2 linked regions of the Sus scrofa genome follow. The protein of the gene in region 1 purifies or fractionates together with the protein of each later gene. This does not show direct contact. Links are inferred from orthologs where the notes say so. Each region holds a gene or a part of one and is shown in the gene's direction. Other genes may lie near its edges.

What was found.
Region 2: the proteins of RPP30 (region 1) and RPP25L purify together in Homo sapiens (co-immunoprecipitation; 3 studies listed by BioGRID and IntAct, counting the BioPlex papers as one, with this or other methods). This does not show direct contact. The link is inferred for Sus scrofa from reciprocal best matches to the Homo sapiens genes RPP30 and RPP25L.

What each region holds. Positions count from the first base shown.
Region 1 is NC_010456.5:102,568,637-102,572,447, forward strand, and holds part of RPP30 (ribonuclease P protein subunit p30), read left to right. Parts: intron 1-704; coding exon 705-761; intron 762-2,194; coding exon 2,195-2,269; intron 2,270-3,811. UniProt on the Homo sapiens protein: Component of ribonuclease P, a ribonucleoprotein complex that generates mature tRNA molecules by cleaving their 5'-ends. Also a component of the MRP ribonuclease complex, which cleaves pre-rRNA sequences.
Region 2 is NC_010452.4:32,187,817-32,192,027, forward strand, and holds RPP25L (ribonuclease P protein subunit p25-like protein), read left to right. Parts: upstream 1-1,365; 5' UTR 1,366-1,462; exon of another isoform or gene 1,463-1,484; intron 1,485-2,236; 5' UTR 2,237-2,270; coding exon 2,271-2,762; 3' UTR 2,763-3,613; downstream 3,614-4,211. UniProt on the Homo sapiens protein: May be a component of ribonuclease P or MRP.

The sequences.
Region 1 (3,811 bases):
AAGTTCTGCATCTGCGGCATATGGAAGTTCCCAGGCCAGGGATTGAGTCTGAGCCATAGCTGCAACCTGCACCGCAGATATGGCAAGGCATGATGCATCAACCCTCTGCACTGGCCTGGGGATTGAACACATACCTCTGCAGCGACCTAAGCTGCTGCAGTCAGAATCTTAACTCACTGTGCCACAACAGGAACTTCTGCACTGTCTTATATGTTAACAGTTGAGCTGATGAATATTTGTGCAAATGATAAGGTTTTTAGTGAAGTGCTAGGGCATGGTATAAGGATTCTTATAGTTGATTTGATGTTAATTAACTTTCAGTAACTTAAAGTGCATTGTTATTGACTAAACTGTAATCACAATATTTAGTTCTTTTTATATTTCTGTCAGTGACTCATGATTTCCCTCTCCAACATGCTAGCAAATATGTATATCTCCCTTCAGGCCAACAGCCATTCCTTACAGATTGTTTCAGTCTCCGAACTATTGTTCATCCCTCCTATCCATTGATATTCTCAGCTGCTGCTCTGCTCTTCAGCTTTCTACGTTAAAAATGACATGCACAACTTGGTGTTTCTGAGTAACAGAAATTTGTTTCGTTTTATTTTTTTAATTATCTTACTGAAAACCTGTTGTAAGTGTTCTGTTATGTTTCATCACATTAACATGTACCATCTAGGGTGACTGTTTGTTGTTTGTTATAGGAAATTGAAAAACCAGTAGCTGTTTCGGAGCTTTTTACAACTTTGCCAGTTGTACAGGTAAGTGCATGGTGTAAGAAGCATAACACCTGTTCATTTGGTTCAGACATGCAGTCATATGTGTGGTTCCCTTCCTCTGTCTACCGGTCTTACTTTCCATAAAGACTCAGCTCTTCCAGAAAGCATTCTCTTACTGTCAATTCAGTACTCTGATCATCTTTCTGAAGTCCTGCAACCTTTAAAATATCTCATCGTGTAGTTTAATATGCATGTTTTTTTCTCTAACTGTGCAGATATATCTCAGAGATATTACAGGTCTGATTTCAGACCACTGCATAAAGTGAGTCACACGAATGTTTTAGTTTCCTGGTGCATATTAAAGCTATGCTTACAGTGTACTGTACTTCAGTAAGTGTGAGGTTAGCATTATGTCTTAAAACTATATATATATATGCCTAATTTAAAAATACCGTATTGCTTAAAAATGCTCACCCTCATCTGTATATTCAGCAAGTTATAATCTTCTTGCTGGTGGAAGCTCTTGCCTTGATGCTAAAGGCTGCTGATGGATCAAGGTGGCAGATGCTGAAGATTGGGGTGGCTATGGCACTTTGTTTTTTCTTTTTTCTTTTTTTATTCTTTTTAGGGTTGCACATGTGGAATAGGGAAGTTCCCAGGCTAGGGGTTGAATCGGAGCTGCAGCTGCTGGCCTGCATCACAGCTACAGCAATCCTGGATGTGAGCCACATCTGTCACCTATACCACAGCTCATAGCAACACAGGATCCTTAATCCACTGAGCAAGGCCAGGGATGGAACCCGCATCCTCATGGATAACTAGTCCATTCTTAACCTGCTGAGCCACGGCAGGAACTCCAACTCCAGTTTGCTGCATGAATTGTCTTACTTGCACTAAAAATTTCTCTGTAGCTTGCAGTGCTGTTTAATAGCATTTTACCCACAGTAGATCTTCTTTCAAAATTGGGGTCTTCTCATACCTGTAACTGCTTTATTAGCCACATTTGTGTGGTTTATTCTAAATCCTCCTTGTCATTTCAACAATTACATTTGGCGTCTTAAGTGGGCATGGTTTGTGGGGTCCCAAAACAGTTTTCAACAGTAATGTCAAATATCAGTCATCAGAGATCACCGTAAAAGATATAATAATAATAATAAAATGCAAAATACTGAAGAATTACCAAAACATGACACAGAGACACTAAGTGAGCAAATGCTCTTGGAAAAATGGCACCAGTAGACTTGCTTAATGCAGAGTTGCCACCAGCCTTCAGTGTGTAAAAAAATACACTATCAGTGAAGTGCAACAGAGTGAAACAGAGTAAAATGAGGTGTGCCTGCACCATAAATTCTTGAGCACGAGGACTAGGTTTTATTGATCTTCACTATCTCTTATTGTTAGTACCTTTTAATGTGTACTTCCCATTGGTAAGGAAGAAAATCAGTCATTTGTATTTTGTGCTCTTTTGATAACAGGGAAAATCAAAACCAATTAAAATTTTGACTAGACTGACAATTATTGTTTCCGATCCATCTCACTGCAATGTTTTGGTAAGTTATTTATTTTTCTTCTTTTTGGCCTTGTAAGTTGTATTGATTAATGTCAAACAGGGTTCTTTTTCAACTCACTCCATTCTTAGATCTCCCCGCATCCCCAGTGCACGATACTTGACTGCTCCACTTAGCTCAGAATTCACACGGTGTAACAAAATCTCATCTGCTCATGGCACATACAATAAAGATACCACAATTAAAGACTCTTTCAGCAGCTGGTATTCATTGAGCTTATATGAACCAGCCATAAGTGAGTGCTGGGCATAGTGCTTATGCATAGTACAGACACAGTCCTCTTAAAAATGGAAGGAATATTTTAAAAAGTGGGAGATAGTAAGCAAAAATGTCCTTGGAATGTGTAACAGGGGCCAACCTGAGGAAGTTGATGTTCACACTGGGACCAGAAGAAGCAATAAGTGTTAGAGATGGCCAAGTAGGGGAGAGAATATTCCCACAGACAGGATGGATTATGTAAGGTCCTGAATCCAGGGGGAAAAGCAAAACGAAACACCGCTGCGTTCCGGAAAATGAAACACCAGTTGAGTTGAGCCTGATGATCTGGCTAACCTGGGATGAGGTGAGGGAGGTGGGTCTGGGTAAGCAGTTAGAAGCCCTCAAGAGAGGACACTTATGAGGAGATAAAGGAGGGGACTTGAGAGACATTGGGACAGGAGACTCACAGGATTTGATGTTGATTAGATAGAAGGTGATGACTCCTTGCCTTGGCCTGAGCAGCCACGTGAGAAGATGGTACCATTTCCTGAGACGGGACATACAAAGAGAAGTTTGAAGGCATCAGGTTTTGGACATGATAGGTTATTGTGAGAGTTCCAGTGGAGCTTGTTGAGTGGGAGGTTGGGGGAAAAAAAAAGGTGTGGCCCTCAGAAGAGGAACCCCAGTTGAAGATACTGATGTGGAAGTGGCTGCCCTGTACAGAGTAATTGAAGTCATGAGAGTGGATGAGACTCCCTGATCAAAAGTAGGAGGACAAGGAGGAAAGTGAGAAGGGTCAGCAGCATCAGTGTGCCTGAGTGTCAAGCAGGAAAAGGGCTAAAACGTGTCTTGGAAGGCAAGTCCCCCGTTGACAGGGAGGTCATTGGTTGCCTTAGCACACACCATTTCCACGGAAATGATAGGGCCATGAGAAAGTGCAGACTGTGTGTGCTGCTGACTTTGCTTGAGAAACTTGACTCTGGGGAACAGAAGGCATAGAGAGGCTGGTCAGTGAGAATCTGCTGTCTGTCTAGCTTTTTGTTCGATGGCAGACTTGAGAATGCTTGGTGCTTGGAGAGGACCCAGTGAGGGATGGAGGAAACGAGGTCTCTGAGGAGGCGAGCTGTTTCATCTTTAGCTGGAAAGGCCTGTCTCTCACAGAACAGGAGTCATCAAGGAGGGGGGCTGGCCTCCTTTCTAACAGTTAGCATGGCTGAGGAAATTGTGGAAAGCCAAATTGGGAGATTTTATGCAACTGCAGGCAGCATTCTGATTCTTTTTATGGTCATGAAGACTTTTCACAAGAGTTATCATGAACCTTCTGGT
Region 2 (4,211 bases), on another chromosome or scaffold:
AAAAAAAAAAAAAAAAAAAGAAAAAGAAAAAGAGAGAGAGAGAATCCAACTAGTAACCAGGAGGTGGCAGGTTTGATCCTTGGCCTCGCTCAGTGGGTTAAGGATCTGGCACTGCCAAGAGCTGTGGTGTAGGTCGAAGATGTGGTTCAGATCTTGCGTTGCTGTGGCTGTGGACCAGAAGCTGTAGCTTGGATTGGACCCCTAGCCTGGGAATCTCCATATGCCACGCGTAGCCCTAAAAAGAAAAAAAAAAAAAAAAAAAAAAAAAATTAAAAAGGTCAGATGCCAACCAGGTGGGAAGGACACAGATAGGGTCCACCTGATCCCTACCCTTTACAGCCTAGCTAGGGAGACAGTCAAGGAAAAGGGAAGGGGACCAGGTGGCACCAGGGTTCTTTGTGGCACAGAAGAAAAAGGAAAGTGGGGGACATCCCTGGAGGGTGATACACAGGGTCTTTGAGAGCCGAGGTTGCAGCATGTGCAAAGGCAGAGGGGAGCTTTTAAGTTTTTTTCTGGGGAGCCTACTTGGTGCTATACCGAGAAGGGGAGCCTAAAAGAGGTTTGGAGACGGGGATTTTAGTTGGGTGCGGGGGTGGTTGGAAAGGAGAAGGGGCAGGTTGGAGCCGAGAAACAGTGGCACTTCACTCCACCAAGTGTTTGCTGCCCCCTTGTGGTCTCAGGGACTGCTGTGCCTCCAGGCCCCTTTCATCCGCCGCCGGCCTTCCACCCCACCCGCGCGGTCTCGTTGGCATTTCGAATTGAGCTCGTCTGATACTGGGAGTCATCCTAGACTCTTCCCTCTTTCTCCGTCGGAACAGTCGCCAAACCTACTTCCTGTTATCTTCCAAATGAATCTACTTCTCCCCATTACTCTGCCATTTCTCTAGTTCATTCTTTCAACAAATAATTTAACAAATATTTGAGCCCTATCATACGCTGGTCCATGTGGACACGCCCCCGGGAGTCACCAGCGGATGCGGCCGGTCCCCGCTCCCTTCTGCGCTGCGGCCAGAGTGAGCTGTGCCAAAAAGATCTGGTTTGACCTGCGCCTGATGAAACCTCCCCGTGATACGCCAGTGTCCACAAGATGAGGTCTAGACTCAGAACTCTGTGACCAAAGTTCTTGTCCCCGCAGCAGCAGCCCCCCTCTTGCTCCCGTCCGAAGTGAAACCCGCTGCTCTGCCTTTGTTACTGCACTGTGTTCAACAGAGGTCAAATCCTTCACTTCCTTCCGACGGGAGACGACTCCTAATACCCTCATGCCACCGGCCCTCGCGTCGCGGCTGGGCTCATACCCACAAGCTGCCGTCGCGGCCGCTCTCAGTTTGTGGGCAGAGTCGCCTCTGGTCCTGTCTCCTGAGGCCCCGCCCCGTCCGGCGTGCGCGGCCCCGCGGCCTCGGCGCGCCCCCGTCCCGCGCCATTTTGGACTAGGAGCGAAGTGGTAGAGTGCGTGGCTGCTGTGGTGAGAGCTAGAACCCAGCGGGGTGAGGGCGCCCGGAGTCGGGGGCAGGAGAGGGGAGGCCGGCTGCTGGGCCGCTGCGCCCGCCTGGACACTGGGAGCAGCCCGGGGCGGTGGCGGCCGCGGACCGGCCGCCAGGAGTAGCCCGAGCAGCCCTCCACGCTATCCCCGACTTACTGAGTGACCTGGGTTAGGGGAATCGACCCAGGGGATCTTTGGGCGAGGGATGCTCGGCCCTGTCCTGGAGGTCCTGGAGTTGGGGAGGGGGTCACTTCTGCCTTTGAGGAGCTTTTGGAAGAGGGGTCTGCCTTGGGGAGCTTGGGGTGTAGAGGCTTGGCCCTGCCCTCCGGGAGCACGAAGTGAGGGAACCTTGTCCTCGTCCCTCCTTGGAGAGTCCAGGGAGAGGAGCACAAAGTCTTGTTCTCAAGCAGCCTGGGCCGAGGGCCCCAGCCCTGTCCCAAGGCGCCCCAGATGAAGGAAGTTCGTTACCAGTGCTGGGCAGCTTGGGATGAGGGGGCTCGGCCAGTGGGGAATCTGGTCCTGTCTCTGGGACTGCGGGGGTCGGGGGAGGGTTATGGCTCTGTCCGGAGGAAGGGGATACAGCCCCCTGTCAGGGGGAGGCAGGCATCCCTGCTCTGGGGGTGAGGGGATGTGGTCCTGTTCCTGGGAAGTCTGGGTTGAGGAGCACAGCCATGTCCTAGGGAGCCAGGGATGGGGGGTGGGGTGGGGGATGGCCTGGGGCACCTTGCCTAGCATTCCTCTGACACCTCCCTGCAGCGGGCAGCAAGATTGAGACCCAGCAGCAAGCGAGATGGAGCACTACCGGAAAGCTGGCTCTGTGGAACTACCAGCACCTTCCCCAATGCCCCAGCTGCCTCCTGATACCCTGGAGATGCGAGTCCGAGATGGCAGCAAGATCCGCAACCTGCTGGGACTGGCGCTGGGGCGGTTGGAGGGTGGCAGCGCCCGGCATGTGGTCTTCTCAGGTTCTGGCCGGGCTGCCGGCAAGGCTGTCAGCTGTGCCGAGATCGTCAAACGGCGGGTACCAGGCCTGCACCAGCTCACCAAGCTGCGCTTCCTGCAAACAGAGGACAGCTGGGTGCCAACCTCACCTGACACTGGCCTAGATCCCCTCACAGTCCGCCGTCATGTGCCTGCGGTGTGGGTACTGCTCAGCCGGGACCCCTTGGACCCCAATGAGTGTGGCTATCAGCCCCCAGGGGCACCCCCTGGCCTGGGCCCCATGCCCAGCTCCAGCTGTGGCCCCCGACCCCGAAGAAGGGCACGAGACACCCGGTTCTGAGGACCTGCCAAGCAAGCTGTTCTCCAGGCCTGAATGTCTAGGATGGCTGTGCCTTCTTTGAGAAGCCCTGTAACTGCTCAACATCCCCATCTAGACTTGAGGTTACAGAAGTGGACCTCCCTGTCCTACTTCAACTTCCCTCTGGCTGGTGGAAAGGGACTGTGATGAAGAGTGACAGGTGTGGGGTCTCTGCTGAGTTCTGGATTGCTTAAGAGGAGCTTATTCTGCCTTCCACCTACAGTGACTCTGATCTACCTTCTGACAGAGGTCTGAGGAGTGGGTTAGGAAATAAAAGTTCTGCCCATTTGATAAGCCTCTGCTCGGCCTGCTGTGTGGAGGTGGGATTAGGGGAAGAGGAGTCCTTGCCCTTGACCCCCAGGAGCTCACAGGTGGGAGACAGGAAGGGTAGGCTCAGGTTGGTGCTGGAAGGATCTAGGGTTGATTAAAAAGCCTCAAGTGGTAACCTGTCTGTGTCTAAACCACTGGGTGGCTGACTGCTGCCTGTTTGAGGCTGGTTTAAAGACTCTCTACCAGGACAGACATTTTTCCTCATCTGTAGCATGTTGATATACTTCATTCTATTGCACGTCCCAAATACTGTGTTTTCTACAAAGTAAGTAAGGGTTTGTAGCAAGCCTGCATTGAGCAAGTCTGTTGGCGACATTTTTCCAACAGCATCTGCTCACTTTGAGTTTCTGTCACATTTTGGTAATTCTCACATTGCAAACTTTTTCATTGTTATGTTTGTTATAGTGATCTATGATAAGTGATCTTTAATGTTACTGTTATAACTCATTGAAGGCTGAGGTGATGGTTCAACTTTTTCTAGTAATAAAATGTTTTTATTTTTATTTCTTTGCTCTTTTTTAGGGCTGCACCTGTAGCACATTGAGGTTCCCAGGCTAGGGGTCGATTCAGAGCTGCAGCTGCCGGTCTACACCACAGCCACAACAATTCGAGATCCAAGCCTTGTCTTTGACCTACACCAGAGCTCACGGCAACTCTGGATCCTTAACTCACTGAGCGCGGCCAGGGATCAAACCCACATCCTTATGGATACTAGTCAGGTTAATTACCGCCAAGCCACAATGGGAACTCCTAAAGTATTTTTAAATTAAGGTATGTACATTGGTTTTTTAAACAATACTATTGCACTCTTAATAGACTATAGTATAGTGTAAACAACTTTTGTGTGCACTGGGAAACCAAAAAGTTCTTGTGACTCGCTTTATTGAGATCTTCATTTAATTGAGATGGTCTGGAACTAAACCCAAAATATCTCTCTCAGGTATGCCTGCATTATAGTGTAGTGTTTAAGATCGTAGACTTGAGCACCAGACTACCTGGATTTGAATCCTGGTTTTGCCACTTGCTAGCAAGTTACTGTTTTGTGACTTTGGGCTCTGTGCTTTAGTATTCTAAAACAGGGTATAGTGCTTACCTCATAAG